Linked DNA regions of Astyanax mexicanus. The protein of the gene in region 2 purifies or fractionates together with the protein of the main gene of each other region. This does not show direct contact. Links are inferred from orthologs where the notes say so. Each region holds a gene or a part of one and is shown on either strand. Other genes may lie near its edges.

Region 1 (8,492 bases), on a different chromosome or scaffold from region 2:
TCAAGAATGCCAACATTAACATTCAATGTATAAACCTTGTTTATAAGCCTGTCATACGATATATTTAATAATTTACAAACTTCAAAGACAATACTGTATATGTACATTCTATTTGCTGCCACAATTCTAATCTTTGTTTAAGATAACAATTGCCATTGCTGTATATGACTATATACACACAGAAAGATCTAAAACATGCAAGTGCATTTCTAACCTATCTTCTCATGTTTGAGGAGTTTGAAGGACACAGTGGATGTGCCTCGGCCTCCGCTCCTGGTTGTGACTATGATCTCGCCCTTGTCATCTTTAGCAGGACCAACTCGACACACAATCTTACTTGCAGACATCCATTCTGCCGTCAGCAGACAGTTATGACCACAGATAGACAGACCTGAAAGGAATACAGAAGCAGAATTATACTCTTAGCCTGGAAAACAGGTGCTCATTTTCAGATAATAATAAAAGATATATATAAATAGAAATGTTTCTTTTAAATAAGTAATAAAAAAAATTGAATATCATGATAAACAGAGCCTTCACATTAAACATTTAAATAAAAAAGAGTCACTTAAATACATCTCTGTGACTTTTGATTACTCCCTTTAGACTAAACTATTAAGTCTTTATATATTCAGCACTGTGCATGTTACCGATAAGGTCATTGGGTCCGGTTCCCAGGTTTTCTCCACGGATAGTGACTTTAGTCCATGGTGTGCCCTCATTGGGCGAGATGCCAGTCACTAGAGGAGGTTGGCGGGCACGAGACATTGTTCCCACACTGCAAATGCAAAGAGGACAAAGAAAAATATTAAATGTGATTACTGCAAATCTATGCTGCTTAACAAAGGCAGTGCATCTGCTGTAAGGATTGTTTGTTGTTTAAAATTGTAAATATCAGTTTTAAATATTCATCACATACATTTGTCTGATATATTTTTTAAACTGTATGATCCTGATGTAATTGTCCCACATAATTATGGTTTGGTGAAAAAAATATTTTAGGTTCTATAAAGTTTTTTTTCACACAAAGATTGAATCAAATATAATTTTTTCAATATTTAAAAATGTCATGGTTCTATAGAGCTCTAATTACAGCTATATCTACAACTCTACACATAGTGTATTTTACAGCTTAGTTCTAATATATAAGAAGCACTATTTTAATTTAGATAACATTATTATTCAATTCTTCAGAGAGTTATTTGCTTATTTGCATAAGTGGCAAAATTATATTTAATTGTAACTGTAATGATAGTACAAGTACATTACTGTATCACTGTATCAACAATATCTTTTGGTTAAATCACTGTCTGACAACAACTTTTCCGTGTAAACTGCTGATTAAAACCTGATACAAGAAAACCGATACAGCATTGCAAGTATTCTCCCTAATCTACCCAGTAGCTGTGTCTGCCACCTTCACACAGCATTACTAAACTAGGAGCACAAAGGCTATTATTCAACAAGCTTAAAGGACAATGCTGTTACATCAGCTTTCTGAAAATGTTTTCTTAAAAATCATCCAAGGTTATGTGCTCTCTGTAGCATCTCCATAAAAAAAAACTAAATATTAAACCATACAGTAGACTACACTGAGAATGTAGGTAGGCGATATTACATATTTTTCCCTTTTTGTTTCACTTGCACGTGTAAAGATAATCTCTATCTAAGACAGAAAAAATAATTAGGAAAATGGTTTATAAACCGAAGTTTTATAAACATATGAGTGTGTACACATGCACTATATTGTTGGCCTAATATATTTTAAAAACAAGCATTACAATCTAAAAATGTATCTTTTTTTTTGCCTAGTTGCTGTTTGATCTTTTTACTAATCATATTTACAGTACATATGAGGACAGTTGGCCAAAATTTATTGTTCTTTGAATGAAAAGTATGATGGTGTGATAAATTAAACACATATGAAGTAGGGGTGTGCATGTTTAATAACAACCTTTCACTTTACTCTGACTTTTTGCCACTGTACAATGTAAAACGTTTCTTGTGAATTTTACAATAAGGAAATGTCAAAACAGTTGCCAAAAATGATTGTAAAATTACAGTTATTCACTGGGTGGTGAAAAACAAAATTACAGCAGTATGTGTGTGTGTATGTGCAAATTTGTCTGTGCATGTGAACAATCTGAAGACTTTTCTACAATTTCAACTATTTTAGTAGTGTGACAAAACTTACTAAAGATGAGAGCGCTTTTCATTATTCCCAACAGTAAGTAGTAGGTGGATAAACAAAAAATTGTTAATATGAAATAATTGTGTACACTTAGGTGCAAAAGTTTGGTTTTGATAATGCTATATGTGGTTTTGGTTTCTGTGCTTTATTTTGCAGAATCAATTAAGTATTTTACAGTTTGGAAGTGTGTTTTTTTTTTTGTGAAAAGCTTTTTTGTAAAACCAGCATACAGAATTGTGTTCAAGCAGTCTGAAAAAATGTAAGAGAGGTGAAAATGTAGGACTTGGCTAGTATGTAACTGATTCAGGGAGGCGGTTAAGGATGTCACATGATTTTTACAACAGCAACTGTATTAATGCCTGTAGCCTGTAAACTTGTCATGTTAGTCAGAGGATCAAAGCAGATGAAATTCTAATAAACAGGCCAGTGATCTCTTTTAAAGCATTTGTTAAAAGTACTTTAGTGGGTTCACTTTAAAGCAGAGAGATACTGAACCCTGTCCTCCACCAGCTCTGCTCAGAAACAGCTCTCTATCCTCAAAATTACCAAAATACAATTTGACCTATAAATTAACATACAGCAGTAGATAGCTAACGCCAGCTTATCTGTTCTGCTTATAATAAAACAAAATAGCTCACCTACTAGCGTTACTATTAACCATTAGCAGAATAACAAACCAGCACAGCTGAGCTTGGTGTAACACCTTCACCACCGCTTTCAGTGTAAAAAAACAGGAGTGTTTCAGAACAGCAAAGAGCTGCTATAAATACTACCCAGCTAGGTTAGCTACCATACCATAACCTCGTTAATTAACTACATTTGTTTAAAAGTCTAACGTTACAGTTCCTTAGCGCTGAGGCTAAAAACAGTTAGCTCGGTTAGCGGAGCGGCTGGTTAGCCTCTGAAGCTATCGGCGCAGTCTTTAGGACTGACAGGAGAAACACAGGTCTAAAAACACTGTTTTACAATAAATTACTTACAAAGACCACCTAATATAAAAACCGCGGCGTGTTAACTGGTGTAATGTTAGATTAAAACCCACCTAATCTAGCGCAGATCACCGCTCTACCAGGGGCTGTGGCTGTTTTGGTCGCTCAGTGTACATCCGGGTCACTGCGTCTCTGGCCCCTCCCTGCTCCAGCAGTCACTGCAAAGAACAGACTTTAGCTACAGACTGAGTTGATGCTGGAAGTGTAGTCTGGATAAAAAGGTGAAACATTTTCACAAGAAAAAAAACACTTCCTCATGGCATTCCAAGATATTTCACGTAATAAGAAATAGTTTAACACCAGCAAAACCATTCAGATATATTATTGTTGCAATATTGTTAGTATTTTAGCTGCATTTAAATCATAGGCCTCTTTTTAGGGGCTATAGCCTCCTCTAAATTCTCTAGCTACTAAAATAAACGTGCATTATTAGTTTTGTTAACTGTGTTATGTGTACCAAAACTCACAGCTTAATTAAATAACCATAGGGCCTGGAAAGGCCACTGCAAACCTGAAACAAGGGTCGCATGAAGCACAACATATTCACCATCTACAAAAGAATGTTAAGTCATATTGTCATCATATTGGGGTATTGTCAAGAGTGTGATAATGATGAACTTCATTCTGGCAAATGGTTGCACACACCATTTGTGATGTTGCCACCATGCTTCCAAGCGACACTGAGGAAGGCATGGGTTCCTATGCCTTGTGCCTCTTTTGGCAGATTTGAAGCTTCATCACTATAAAGAAACTTGTAATCCACTGCAGTAATTGTAGTAAAGTATGAAAGTGACATACAGTATGTATAGTGCTGCACAGCAGGAGAGTACATTACAGTACCAGTGGGAGGAAGTATAGCCTAGACTTCACATAGCCATAACACAGCTTTCCACACTGCCTGATTGCTATATTGGTGCAGCTCAGATTAGACTGGACAATCTGCCTAGTATCCTGAAAACAGTAAACATTTGTAAAAAAGAAATGTTGCAGAATAGTTTTGACCTGTATCTGGGTTTTGGTAACTGGTAGATGAGTATGGTGTTTGCAGGGCAGTGTATCCAAAAATAAAAAAGGGTATTGAGTTTGTATTGCTGTATGTAATGTAGGGAATAGTATTTCGTGTTTGGTTAAAAGTGTGTTTAGAATTGCTAGCTGAATGTAAATCAGATAAAGAGCTTTTAGTTTAGTCTACCAGGTTAACAGCTATTTGAGTTAGTTATTTTCAAAGTTGTGCTACAGGTACCAGCAAAAACTGCAAAAGACTCATTTGTCATTTTGCCTCCTCGATAGATTGCTTTGCTTTTCTCTTTGGCTCAAATGTAATTTTAAATGTAATTTGCCCTTTTAAAAAAGTGATTTGAGTCATTTCAAAAGTAATTCAAAGAATTTCGAAGTAAAAGAGTAAAACTAAAAAATATATATTAATTTTATCTGTGTGTGTGTGTGTGTGTGTGTGTGTGCCTATCATTATACCTTGAGATGGGCAATTTTCTGAAAAAGTCAAAACTGTATTAGCTGGCAGGTACATATAATTGTGTACACTTGGACTGACTTTATATGTTTTTTTTCTTTATATGTTATTTGTTTTTCTGTTTTGTCTAGATGCCTTCTGACATTTTCACAAACCATATTTGTAGTGCAAATGAGGACAGTTGACAAAATTGACTTTAAATGTCTTTAAATTCAAAGTAAAAATGGAAAAATAAGGCTGGGTGGTGAAGGATGGGAAAAGTATGACGGGCTGGGAGTCGTATCTCAGGAAATGATGTCTGATAGAAAACTAAAACATCTTATTGTGAAGCACATTTCACTCAAATCTGTCCTCATACACACAATAAACATCCTGCAATTATGTAAGACTTCCAGTAGGAGCAGACCCAAAGAAATGGGCACGCAAAGGGGCACTGAATTTTTTTTTATTATTATTAATACAGCAGTAGTTTTACAGAACTGCCTATGATTTGATTTAGCTTACTCTTACTGATTTTGTCTCCAAAATTATTGCACATTTTTATACAATCCACTTCTGTGAAGGATTTAATTTCTGCTATTGTTACAAAATTATAACCTGTCATTATTTTGCCATCTTTACTATATTGTGGTTACTCTATGATACTTTACAACTCTAAAAATATTATTACGCTCAGATATAGACTATAGTATTGCTAGTGGTTATTTGATCTCTATACATACACTCTAAAATTGTATTTGACTGTGATTTGGTTTTACATTGGAATTCTTCTCCCTGCATTTCTGTTTATTCTAGGATAGTGGCTGCTTCAGCGGCCACCCATGCAGCGCGCCTTCACGCTCCGTTATCTCAGGCAAGGAGACTTTCCCCCTGATAAAGTGATAAAGCCTCAGAGAGTCCCGGGAGAGACTGAAATCTTTTAATTATGTCGGCTTAATCTCAGAGATCAAGAACGATTTGGTCTTGGCAGAGGCAGCACAGTGTTCCTTCTGACAGAAAGCAAGCAACCAGGGTGTGTGTGTGTTTTTTGGAGGGGGGCTGAGCTTAGTAGAATAAACATAAACACTCACAAGAGTTTATACTACTATTATTATATTGCTTAAGAATCATAAAGATATTTATTATATTTTATTATTTATATGTCTGATATTTATAACTTGAGGTCTGGAGTGGGATTTATGTATATAGTTTGTGATGTCTATGGTGATGATGACTATGCTTACCGTTTATTATCATTATTTATTTTTTACATTTTCTAAAATGTTACAACCTCTCCAAGACCCCAAGCCTGGTCTATACAATAACTGCTGAAAATAAAGGCTATTAGCAATTTGCCACAGAAAAAAAATGGTTTGATTAATACTTTAAACATACTGATATTTGATTGAAAATATTTATTTGAGTTGAATAAAACTATTTTAATTGCTTGTTACCACTTTAATTGAAAGTACAAACTACTTCTTAAGTAGAAACATGAAGAAATCAAAGAAAAATATGAGGATTTACTATTAATTTATATGGATGAATATTAGAAGCTGTAAAATCTATTTTGCTGAACTGCACATAAACCCATTGTAAAATATTTAACAGACAAACTTTATTTATTATAACAAATCTATTTATTTAGATTTGTCTATCGATGTATCAAATTATTGAAACCATTGTGTTGTTAGCAGACTGATTCTTATATTTATCAACAAATAAACTGAGGAGCTGACCACTTATTTGATATTTTCATTGTTATATGACAAAGCTATGAACTTACTTCATTATCCAATGTTATTTTCTTCCTGCAGTCCACTGGCCAACACAGACTTTAAACAAACTGCTTTTCTTGCAATTCTTATAAATAAAAATGTTTGATTATTTATTTAGTATATTTAGTTAGTTAAAAATTGATATTTGACAAAAAAGCCACTGAAAGCTGTGAATACTCTGATACTTCTACTGTAAACCATGGCCCATTGCGTATTGCTATAAGGCAGGTGATATGAAGAGATTTTTATTTTGAGAAGTTATGATTAGTGCAATGTCTTTTACATGTTATTGTCCAGCTTAAACAACTTTTTAAATAGACAATTATTTCCTGTATTAAATATAAAACTGTTATAGATGAATATTCAGATTATATATACTTGCGACTGTGTGTGTGTTGTTTTACTATTGTCTAATTTGAGTGGCTCTGTCCCAGTGTGTTCCCATGGGCCCATCGCCAGGAGGGAAGGCGCCATGTGAAGGAACGAATACACACACACACACACACACACACCCCTTGCCAGAGCTTTATGAAGAATCTTCATGATGGAGTTAAAAAAAGAGAAAAGAGTTGACATTTGGGTGTATGTGTTTTACTAAATTTGATGTTTTGCAAAATTTAGGAAAAACTGCAATAAATAATAAAGTATATAGTGCTAAGTGTATTACAAAGTGGAATTGTAACTAAGGTTGCTTTTTAGTGCAGAGTTGTGTAAAAAATGATGAACATTGGAGTTTTTGCTGATTAATGTATTGTGACAATATAAAAGGGGAAGGAGATTTTTCTTTTGGTGTTTTTTTTTCTGAAAGTGTGCAGCAATTGAGAAAATATGATGTGAAAATCTATGATGTGAATATTTATTTAAGGGCTTCAGTGTATATTACAACCTTCACCAACAGGGGGAACCGTAGAAGCAGGGAACCTTCCACACCGTGTGAAAGTCTGTGTTGGTGGTGCTCAATTTCAACAGAAAAGAAAGGCTTTGCATTTTAGTACAAAGGTTAATACTTGCACACTAGTGCATAAACATCTAAATATTCTCTATTAATTAAAGGATTTACATTTCACAGTACTTTACAGTCAAGCTAAGAATTATTTTGGAGCCTATTTTTGTTGCTGTGGAGAACCATTGTTTTAGTGTACAGTAATAAGTCATGGTTTGTCTAAATTGTTTACAATTGACATATTCATGTATAGGGCTAAAAAATAAAGGATTTCTGCCTTATTTGTAAAGTTGTGCCAGTCTTTCACTGTCAACAATAAACTCTGTATAAGCATTTGTTATTTTTCAAATTGAAACAGAATGTCATGAAGAATGAACCAAAAGAAATGCTCTAAAATTGCCTAATAAATGCAATATAATTTTTTCATTAACACTCACCAAAAGTTAAAGTTTTTCACCTTTCTTCTGTAAAGCTGAAATTGTGTAGATATTAGGTTTTGTGTATATGTATTTTTTCCAAGTGATTCTATGTTCTATATAGTGCAGGTTGTCACATATTCACCAATAATTAAACTGACATGTAAAATTACACACACTGCTTAGTTTTAATCTGTGAAATATATATATATATATATATATATATATATATATATATATATATATATATTTTTTTTTTTTTTTTTTTTTTTTTTTAAACAGGTAGAGATATGTTCATTTGTTGTTTTTTTTGTCACAAAAACAGTGAATCAAACAGTTTTTAATTTGCCACCAACTACAGAGGAAGCACTTTTTAACTGGTATGGAAACATTATCAGTTTTTCAAGCTTTTTTATTAAGGAGGGTAAATTCTTGGTATCTTGATATTGGCCTTTTAGAACAGTGTTATTAAGCATAAACTTTTAAATTCTAGAATAATAATATTTTGTCATTTTGCTTAAGAAATATTATTATACAGCTAGTTTAAATCACTGTTATAACAATGTTACTAACATGTTAAAATATTAAACATTACTTGGAAACAGATAAAAAATACCTTAATTGTTTAAAGTACTCCTCATAATGCACTGTAATGTACTGAAAAGTGATACACTACTAAATCTAACATAAAGAACTGATACACCTCCATTCACTGTGAGATTACA
Region 2 (7,810 bases):
AGATTTATCGTCAACTTATTTAAATGCCAGCCAGCATTAAGAGACCTATAAAAAGAATGGCAAATGCCAGCTGGGGTGAAGTACATAGAAAGTTCGAAACAATCCCCTAGGGTAGGACTCCTAAGAAGAGCCAGGCTGAAGTTTGCAAAAGATCATAAGAATTGGACTATAGAGGACTGGAGTTTGGTCATCTTCTTTAATTTTCAGAGAAGATGTCCAATTTTCAGCTTTGCTCAACACCTGGCCATCAAATGTTCAGATAGAGACCTGCTATGGTGTACTTGCAATCCACTGTGAAATTTGGTTAAGGATAGGTGATGACCTGGGGATGCTTCAGCAATTGCGCAGTTTGGTCTTTGTGAATGACGCATGAATCAAGCCACATTCAAGGTTATCCTGGAAGAAAGTTTGCTTCCATCTGCTCTGACAATGTTTCCCAACTCTGAGGACTGTTTTTTTTCCAGCAGGATAATGCTCAATTCCACAAAGCTAGATCAATTAAGGTGTGGATGAGAAAACACTAAATCAAGACAGTGTCATGGCAATCACAATCTCCAGCCCTGAACCCCATAGAAAACCTATGGAATGAAATCAAGAGCAAGATAGATGTTCACAGGCCATCAAACAAAGCTGATTTTTTTGCACCAGGAGTGGTGGCATAAGGTCACCCAAAAGCAGTGTGAAAGACTGGCGGAGAGCATGTTGAGACACATGAGAGCTGTGGTTAAAAATCTGGGTTATTCTACCAATTATTGATCGTAAACTCCTTATATAAGACTTTAGTATTGCAGTGGTTTCTAAACGAATATTAACTTTTATTTCTTTGCATTATTTTATTTATTTTTTGTTAATTTTGTAAAATCTACATTCTCATTTTCTGAAAATAAATGCTCTAAATGACAATATTTTTATTTGGAATTTGAAAGAAATGTCATCAGTAGTATATAGAATAAAACCACAATGTTCATTTCACTCAAACATATAACTATAAATAGCAAAATCAGAGAAACCTATTTAGAAACTGAAGTGATCTCTTATTTTTTTCCAGAGCTATATTTGAGCACACCTGGCCTACTTCTTTACCTGTGACAGAGCTAAAGTATCACTTATCTCAGTGAACAACTTGTCTAAAGTCTAAAGGGTCTAAAACACGTATTTTCATTTGGTAATAAAGACTCACTGAATGATGTATACTCAGTATGTTCACTGTAAGGTTTAATAGCTAGGTTAGCTTCCTGGCTAACGTGACCACCACACCCACTGACAGTCAGTCAGTCACCTGCTTCACTTAACGAGCGGCGTCAATGTCAAGATCCAAAGTCTGCTCTGTAAATCACCAGCACTGCTGGACTGAGCTAAATAATGTGTAAAAATGCTCTTTATGTGTCCCAGCGTTGTTAAAACACCGCTGTAAACCTAGATAGATAGCGAACTAGCTATGTAAGTCAACCTTCCTTTCATCAGCGGGTGAACAGGAGACTTCCCGCAGTCCTGCGCAGAATCGCTGATCTACACATGCTCCTCCACACAACTGTGCTCTGTGTATGGTATACAGATCTGCGAAACTGGACATCGGCTAGCTAGATACGCTAGCTAGCCAGCTAACCTACGCTATTCTGACACTGGTGGTCTTAAGAGATAACCTAGCTCGCCCGCTAATGATTATTAAGCCAAATCAAATCACAACAAATATTTTTAGGTTGTGCTTTTGTGGATTAGTTTTCACAGGCTTTGTTTAGGATGAAGTGTTTATTCAGAACCAGCCACATCCTGCGATTCTGACCACAGACAGATAGACAGACAAGGAGATGACTACAGCCCAGCTAAAGCTCCCACTATCCACCACTTAACTTACAGCAATGTAACGCTATATATGACCAACGTACACTATAAGAAATATCGTTAACGTTATCAGTCATCATACAGTCGCACGCCGACGTATTTCATCCTCTAACGGAAAGAAAACTGCCAAGCTAGCTGAGCCAGCTGTAACGTTAGCTAGCTAGTCAACCAGTATCATCCTGAACCGGTGTTGTGCCTAACTGTGCTCCCTTGTCAAATCGTGCTACCATAGTGTATATTCATAGCAGGGTTCATACACTCTTTGACCAATAAATTACAATTAATTTTCCATACCTTTAAGGCAAATTCTCATGACCATACGATTTTAAAGCATCAGTGCAGACATGGACAATAAAAATCAACTAAATCTCAGAGGGCGACATCATGCAGCCAAACCACTGTAGTTTAAATAATGCTAGCTAAAGCAGTGGTGGTTATCATTTTCTTTAAAAAAAAATAATAATCTGTGCCATACAGGTTTTTATATTTAAGTAGGTTTTTTTTTTTTTTTTAACTCTTAAACTACCCAACAATAATAATAACGGTAAGCTAAAACTGCAGAATACAACAGAAACATTTTCTCTTATAAATCCCATGAATCATGACTAACATTTAAAATTGCGGGTACGCGCGTGCGCAGAACAGCGAAACAGCACATATCGACAGGTAACAGAACCCGACAGAACACCGGCAGCGGCTCACAGGCTATCAGGTGCCCACATCCTGCCATCCTGCCAGCCTCCCGGCCCGTCAACTGCCCCAATCCACCCATCCATCCCAGCCCCCTCAGACATGATTCAGAACTAATGGTTTTAGCGGGGCGGTCAGCGGAAGCTGGTTTATTCCTCCGCTCAGCGCTGTGTAACGGACCGCTCAGTCAGTCAGTCATTCTGCAGACTAACAGCGTTAGATTCTCTTTAGCAAACAAAGGCCCAACTCCATCCGTCCTCCCCGGCGAACACAGACAGCGCCTCACCAAACAACAACCCGGACAAAACAACAAGCTCAAAGCCTCCTACCGAAGCGTCGGACCAACGCAGGCTGTGTCCGTGCTCTCAATCTCCTGCAGAATGCGCTCATGCTCCGTAACAGTCTCCAAGGTTTCGCTCTCCGCCATGTTGGCTGTGTGTTGTGAGAATGCGGCGGGAGGCGCAGTGAGGGGGGGGCAGCCGACAGGTGGAGACAGAGAGCCCCCCCTCTCCATTCAGGAGCATCGCGCTCGCGCACACAGTAAGGGCCAACAGGAGGTCAGCGTGTGGAGTTTAGTACAGCAGGATTTATAAATTTAGCGCGATTATTTACACCTAAAACCAGAACTGCCCAGGAGGAGAAAAGCTGAGGATCATCCCTGTTTATTATAAAATACTCCCCAGCCTCCAGCCAGTACCAGGAGTAGTAATATTAGTATCATTCTCCATTTGGAGTGGGAAACCATGTCACAAAGGTTGGAAGGTTAAAAAAAAGCCTAAAATATTAGGGGCAATTTCAAGAGTCAGTATATACATTTTGACAGTTAACCTAAGATGAAAACCACATTTTCCTTATGATTTCTTAGATTTTCCTTTTTTAAATTTAAAAATATTTCTTTATTTTACGTATGTAAAATAACTCGTCACAACCAATTTTCAACACTTGAGCAAACATTTTTAGTGAAAAGAAATATTAAAAATGTTTAACTTTTGAGATTTCATAAAACAAATCCACACTTACTATGTACATGATTAACATTATACTACATTAAAAAATATATATTTTCTATTTAAAAAATATATTTTTGTCACAAAGATTTTGGTCACTGGTGTTATCAGGACTCTTATATTATATTTTGTCATAGATATTGTTAGCTCTGTTAAACTGTTTCTTGGGTCACAGGTCTTCAAAGAATAAGCATCTCAAGGCATGAGAAGGTAGGTCCATACTTGCTCATTTTATTTTATCAATTTGACAGTATTTTGCTTTATCAGGTAACTTTTTTTTATCAAATATATTGCCATATGTCTTCTATTTCATTGCTCTCAGTCTCTTGACTGCCAATGAGGCAGGCTTTTCACAAAATCCTCCAATTTAACTATAATGTCACTGGTGTCACAGATGTGTGACCATGTGATGTTTGTCCTTTTATATGTTTTTAAATTTTTAATAAACATATCATGCATGAAATGTTAGAATTATTCATTCTTATATTTAAAAAAATGTATTATTATTATTTTTTTAATAGTATAGGAAGATGCCTTTAAGTATAAAGAAAGACCGCTTTATTTTAGTTAATTTTAGTGCTTGTTTATAAACATATTTTGGTAACATGTTAAGTTAAATGCAATTTCTTTTTCACATTCAGCCACATTGTATTTTGAAATAAATTCTTCAAGATGGAATAACACTAGTAACAAATTGAGCAAAACATTTTATGTTAAAATATATTACATTTATTTGGAATTAAGTTCTCCATTTTGCATATTTGGTAAGTGGAGTTGTTAATAGACATTTTAAGGTTGTTTGTTTCCTGGACAAATTAAATCGATTTTTTAAAATGTATCCACTTGAATTCCCACTCCAAATGGAGAATGACCCATTTATATTATACAAATGCAGCTCAAAAAAACTATAATATAATTGAAAAAGTCACTTTATTTCAGTTATTCTGTTCAAAATGTGAAACCCATATCTATTTTATGGTTACAGCCAATGAAAACCCAAAAATCACTTTCTCCAAAAATTGGAACATTATATAAGACCAATTGGTACTGCTGAAAAATGAAATCTTAAAAGTTGAAAACTTCTTAAAAGTTGTCAGCAGAGGGAAGCACCTTCTAGACTAATTACTGCTTCCACTACTATTGCTGCTACAGCTATAGTACTATTACTCCTAACAAGTCTTATTATTACTAACGACTATTACTCCTAATACTGTTACTTGGAGATCCAAAGCACGTTTGGAGAGCCATAAAAGTAGTAGCACACAGTTAACCAGTTATTGCTCAGTACTGAACAATATTAGTGTTAAAAAAACACTAGCAGTGTGAATCTGTTGTATAGTTAGTAGATGCAACAGTAGTAGGAGTAACAGTTGTTAGAAATAAATATTAGGAGTTTTTAGGAGCAATAGTAGTTGTAGCAGCAATAGTAGTGGAAGCAGTAATTAGTCCAGTAAATCAGTAGTAGGTGCATATGAAGTGACCTAAATGTAAAAATACAAAGAACACAAGCATTAGACTGTGTTTAGCTTATAATTGACTGTTTTAGCTGCTCATCAGTACAGTGAGAGTTTTAGTATTAGTGTCTGACAGGAAAAGATTCCAAGATTCAAAATTTAAAGAGTATTGTCATTTGCACAGTAAAGAAGCAAGTTTCATTGTACAATGATTTTTTCTCCTTGCCAAGTATGCCACATGAAGAGTATAGAAAAAAAAAGTAGAAAAAAAAATAAAATATTGAATTTTACAAAGCTTAGTTTTTGAGATACAGACTTTACTGGTATTTTCCAGTCAATTTCAGTCCAGGCCTGTTTTTTTTTTTTAAATGACATGAGTGATAATGCAGCTTTATTATGTATAGTTAATATAATTTATATATATAAACAGTGATTTCATTACAAACTATTGATCAAAAATTAATACAAATACTAACAGTTGTACCTTAAGGTTGTTCCCAGAGGCAGCTCTACTAATTCAAGTTCTGCAAAAACGTTCCCGTAGATTTTTTCCTCCCTGAAATCTTCTTCTGGAGGGCTTAGTGGAGGAGCCCTCGCTTTGTTGCTGTCCATCTTTCCCTTTCTGTGAAAAGTGTGTATAGCACTTAGAAAAAAAATGTTGACAGGACAGCACTGTGACCAGAGTAAGAGGAAAAGTGCAACCCCTGCAAAAAGGGCTGTCTCGTGATTCCCAGTACTTTGAATCCAACAAAACAGAGATAATTACTTTCTTGTAAAATATTTTCAGGCTAGAGCTTAATTAATGCTGCCTGAAACTAAGGGGCAAAGGTTTAAGTTAAGAGTGATAGAGTTCAGTGAAGAAAAGTTCTTACTTTCATCAAACAGTATTTAATTAGTTAATGTGCAATAAATAAAAAAGCCTGTAACAAGCACTGTATTTCCAAAGTACATATAATTATATTAGCGGAAAAAAGACTTTATATATATATATATATGTTTGTGTGTATTAACACATGTAACATTCTCACTGATATGAGCAAAAAACAAACTATTTTCATAATTTGGACTCAACGTGACAACAATATATTACTCTTCACATCCCAACATTTCCTTTTTTAAGCTGATGTCCATTTTTTTTTTTTTTTACAGGATTTCCTGAAAAAAGCGGGGTCATAACCAGACTTATCAGCAGCAGAGGGAACCAAGGGCACCTACAGGATGAGCACATTCCTACAGCACATTTTCTCCAGACTCATTTCTCTCTTTTGGGATACGGCCATAAAAAATTCAGCTTGTTTCTTTCTTATGATCCAATAATTACTTTTCAAAAGCCTTACATTGCTTACATGCTGATTAAGAAGGTGCTGACACTTCTGTTATGCTGTTATGCAGGAATGGATGTATATTAACAAATGGGTTCACACTAGAGCTGTGCAATATGGCAATGATAAATTTGTTATTGTGATAAATTATATGCCTCTCTGAGCACATGTAATTTTAGACAGTGTAATTAGTCTTGTTTATATTGATAAAGTGTCACACTTAAATAACTGTATGTCCTATAATTTAATAATTAGCATTGTTTTAATTCTATGGCTACTAAATTGTTTTGCCATGTGATATGGGATAAATACGATGATAAATATTGTGTATAGTGAAACATTCTTTAAATAGTTATACTATAATTTTACCACATTGCCCTGCACTTGTTCATACTGTCTGCAATGAAATAAAAGTCAAAGAAACTATGTATTTCCCTCTTATCTGCACTTTTTTTTACTGTTTGTATTTCCCAAAATACATTTAATTTTTACATACAACATAATATTAACTGGAGTGGTTTGGGTGCTTGAAGTAAAATAAAATGCTTAAATGTTTAATGTAAAAATGACCCTGGTTCTGTCTCTACTTTAGAATTTAAGCATGTTCCGCATCTAAGAGCAATACAAGTTCTCTCTACTAGATGGCAGTGTACAATAGCTGTATAAAGCACCTTACTGCTTGTTTTAATCATCATTCAATACAGCTCTCTGAGGGGGCACTTTCCCCAGACAGAGATTAAGTCTAGTCTTGGTCTACACTGCAAATTCTGTTAAAAGGAAAATATAATCTAAGACTAGACTTAATCCCTGATGGGGAAACTGCAAACATGGAGTGTTGGCTGAATGCAGTCTTGCCATTTTAACCTTGATGCTTTCTTGTAAGTTACATGACAAATATCCAGTCAGATATATAATAGCAGAATCAGTACTAGCACAGACAAGCCTTTTTATTAGTCTCCCCACCTCCCTGAATGAATGATGCTTTTAAACAGGGCTTCAATTCCTCCCCATAATAACTATGCTGCCTCTGAATCAACCCTGAGTCATAACATACCTGCATCCTGCACTTTATACTGTGCTGCAAAATGCACCCGAGGGCTGTGGAATGGTTGGTGTCAGAATTAAGAGCTTTAATAAGGTGAGGATTGTTTGTTGACTCAGAAAACAGTAAATCTCATGTAACAGTGGGCATATGTGAACATGTACTTTTAAGCCCTATCCGGACGGGATTAGTTTCTTAGGGGAGCGTCTGTGAAAAATATTTTACACTTCTAAGATAAAACTCTTGCATCTGGACTGCAATTGAAAAAACACGAGTTTTTTTGGCCTCTTGGTCATATGACATCATGTTCAGTAGCTCCTCCATTTCCACTCGCTGTTGTGTTTACGCGGATCTCCGTTGAAACACGCGCCCAAAGTGTAAATACGGTGCGTGGCAGTGGACAAATAGCTATTTTATTAAGCGCAAAGTGACAAAACTTTGATGTGCGTCCGG

What was found. The genes of interacting proteins can lie anywhere in the genome.
Region 1: the proteins of exoc6 (region 2) and exoc2 purify together in Homo sapiens (affinity purification with mass spectrometry; 5 studies listed by BioGRID and IntAct, counting the BioPlex papers as one, with this or other methods). This does not show direct contact. The link is inferred for Astyanax mexicanus from reciprocal best matches to the Homo sapiens genes EXOC6 and EXOC2.

Annotation. Positions count from the first base shown.
Region 1 is NC_064408.1:76,634,761-76,643,252, forward strand, and holds the start of exoc2 (exocyst complex component 2), read right to left. Parts: upstream 3,346-8,492; 5' UTR 3,234-3,345; intron 779-3,233; 5' UTR 769-778; coding exon 651-768; intron 392-650; coding exon 215-391; intron 1-214. UniProt on the Homo sapiens protein: Component of the exocyst complex involved in the docking of exocytic vesicles with fusion sites on the plasma membrane.
Region 2 is NC_064422.1:23,191,428-23,199,237, forward strand, and holds the start of exoc6 (exocyst complex component 6), read right to left. Parts: upstream 3,102-7,810; 5' UTR 3,047-3,101; coding exon 2,862-3,046; intron 1-2,861. UniProt on the Homo sapiens protein: Component of the exocyst complex involved in the docking of exocytic vesicles with fusion sites on the plasma membrane.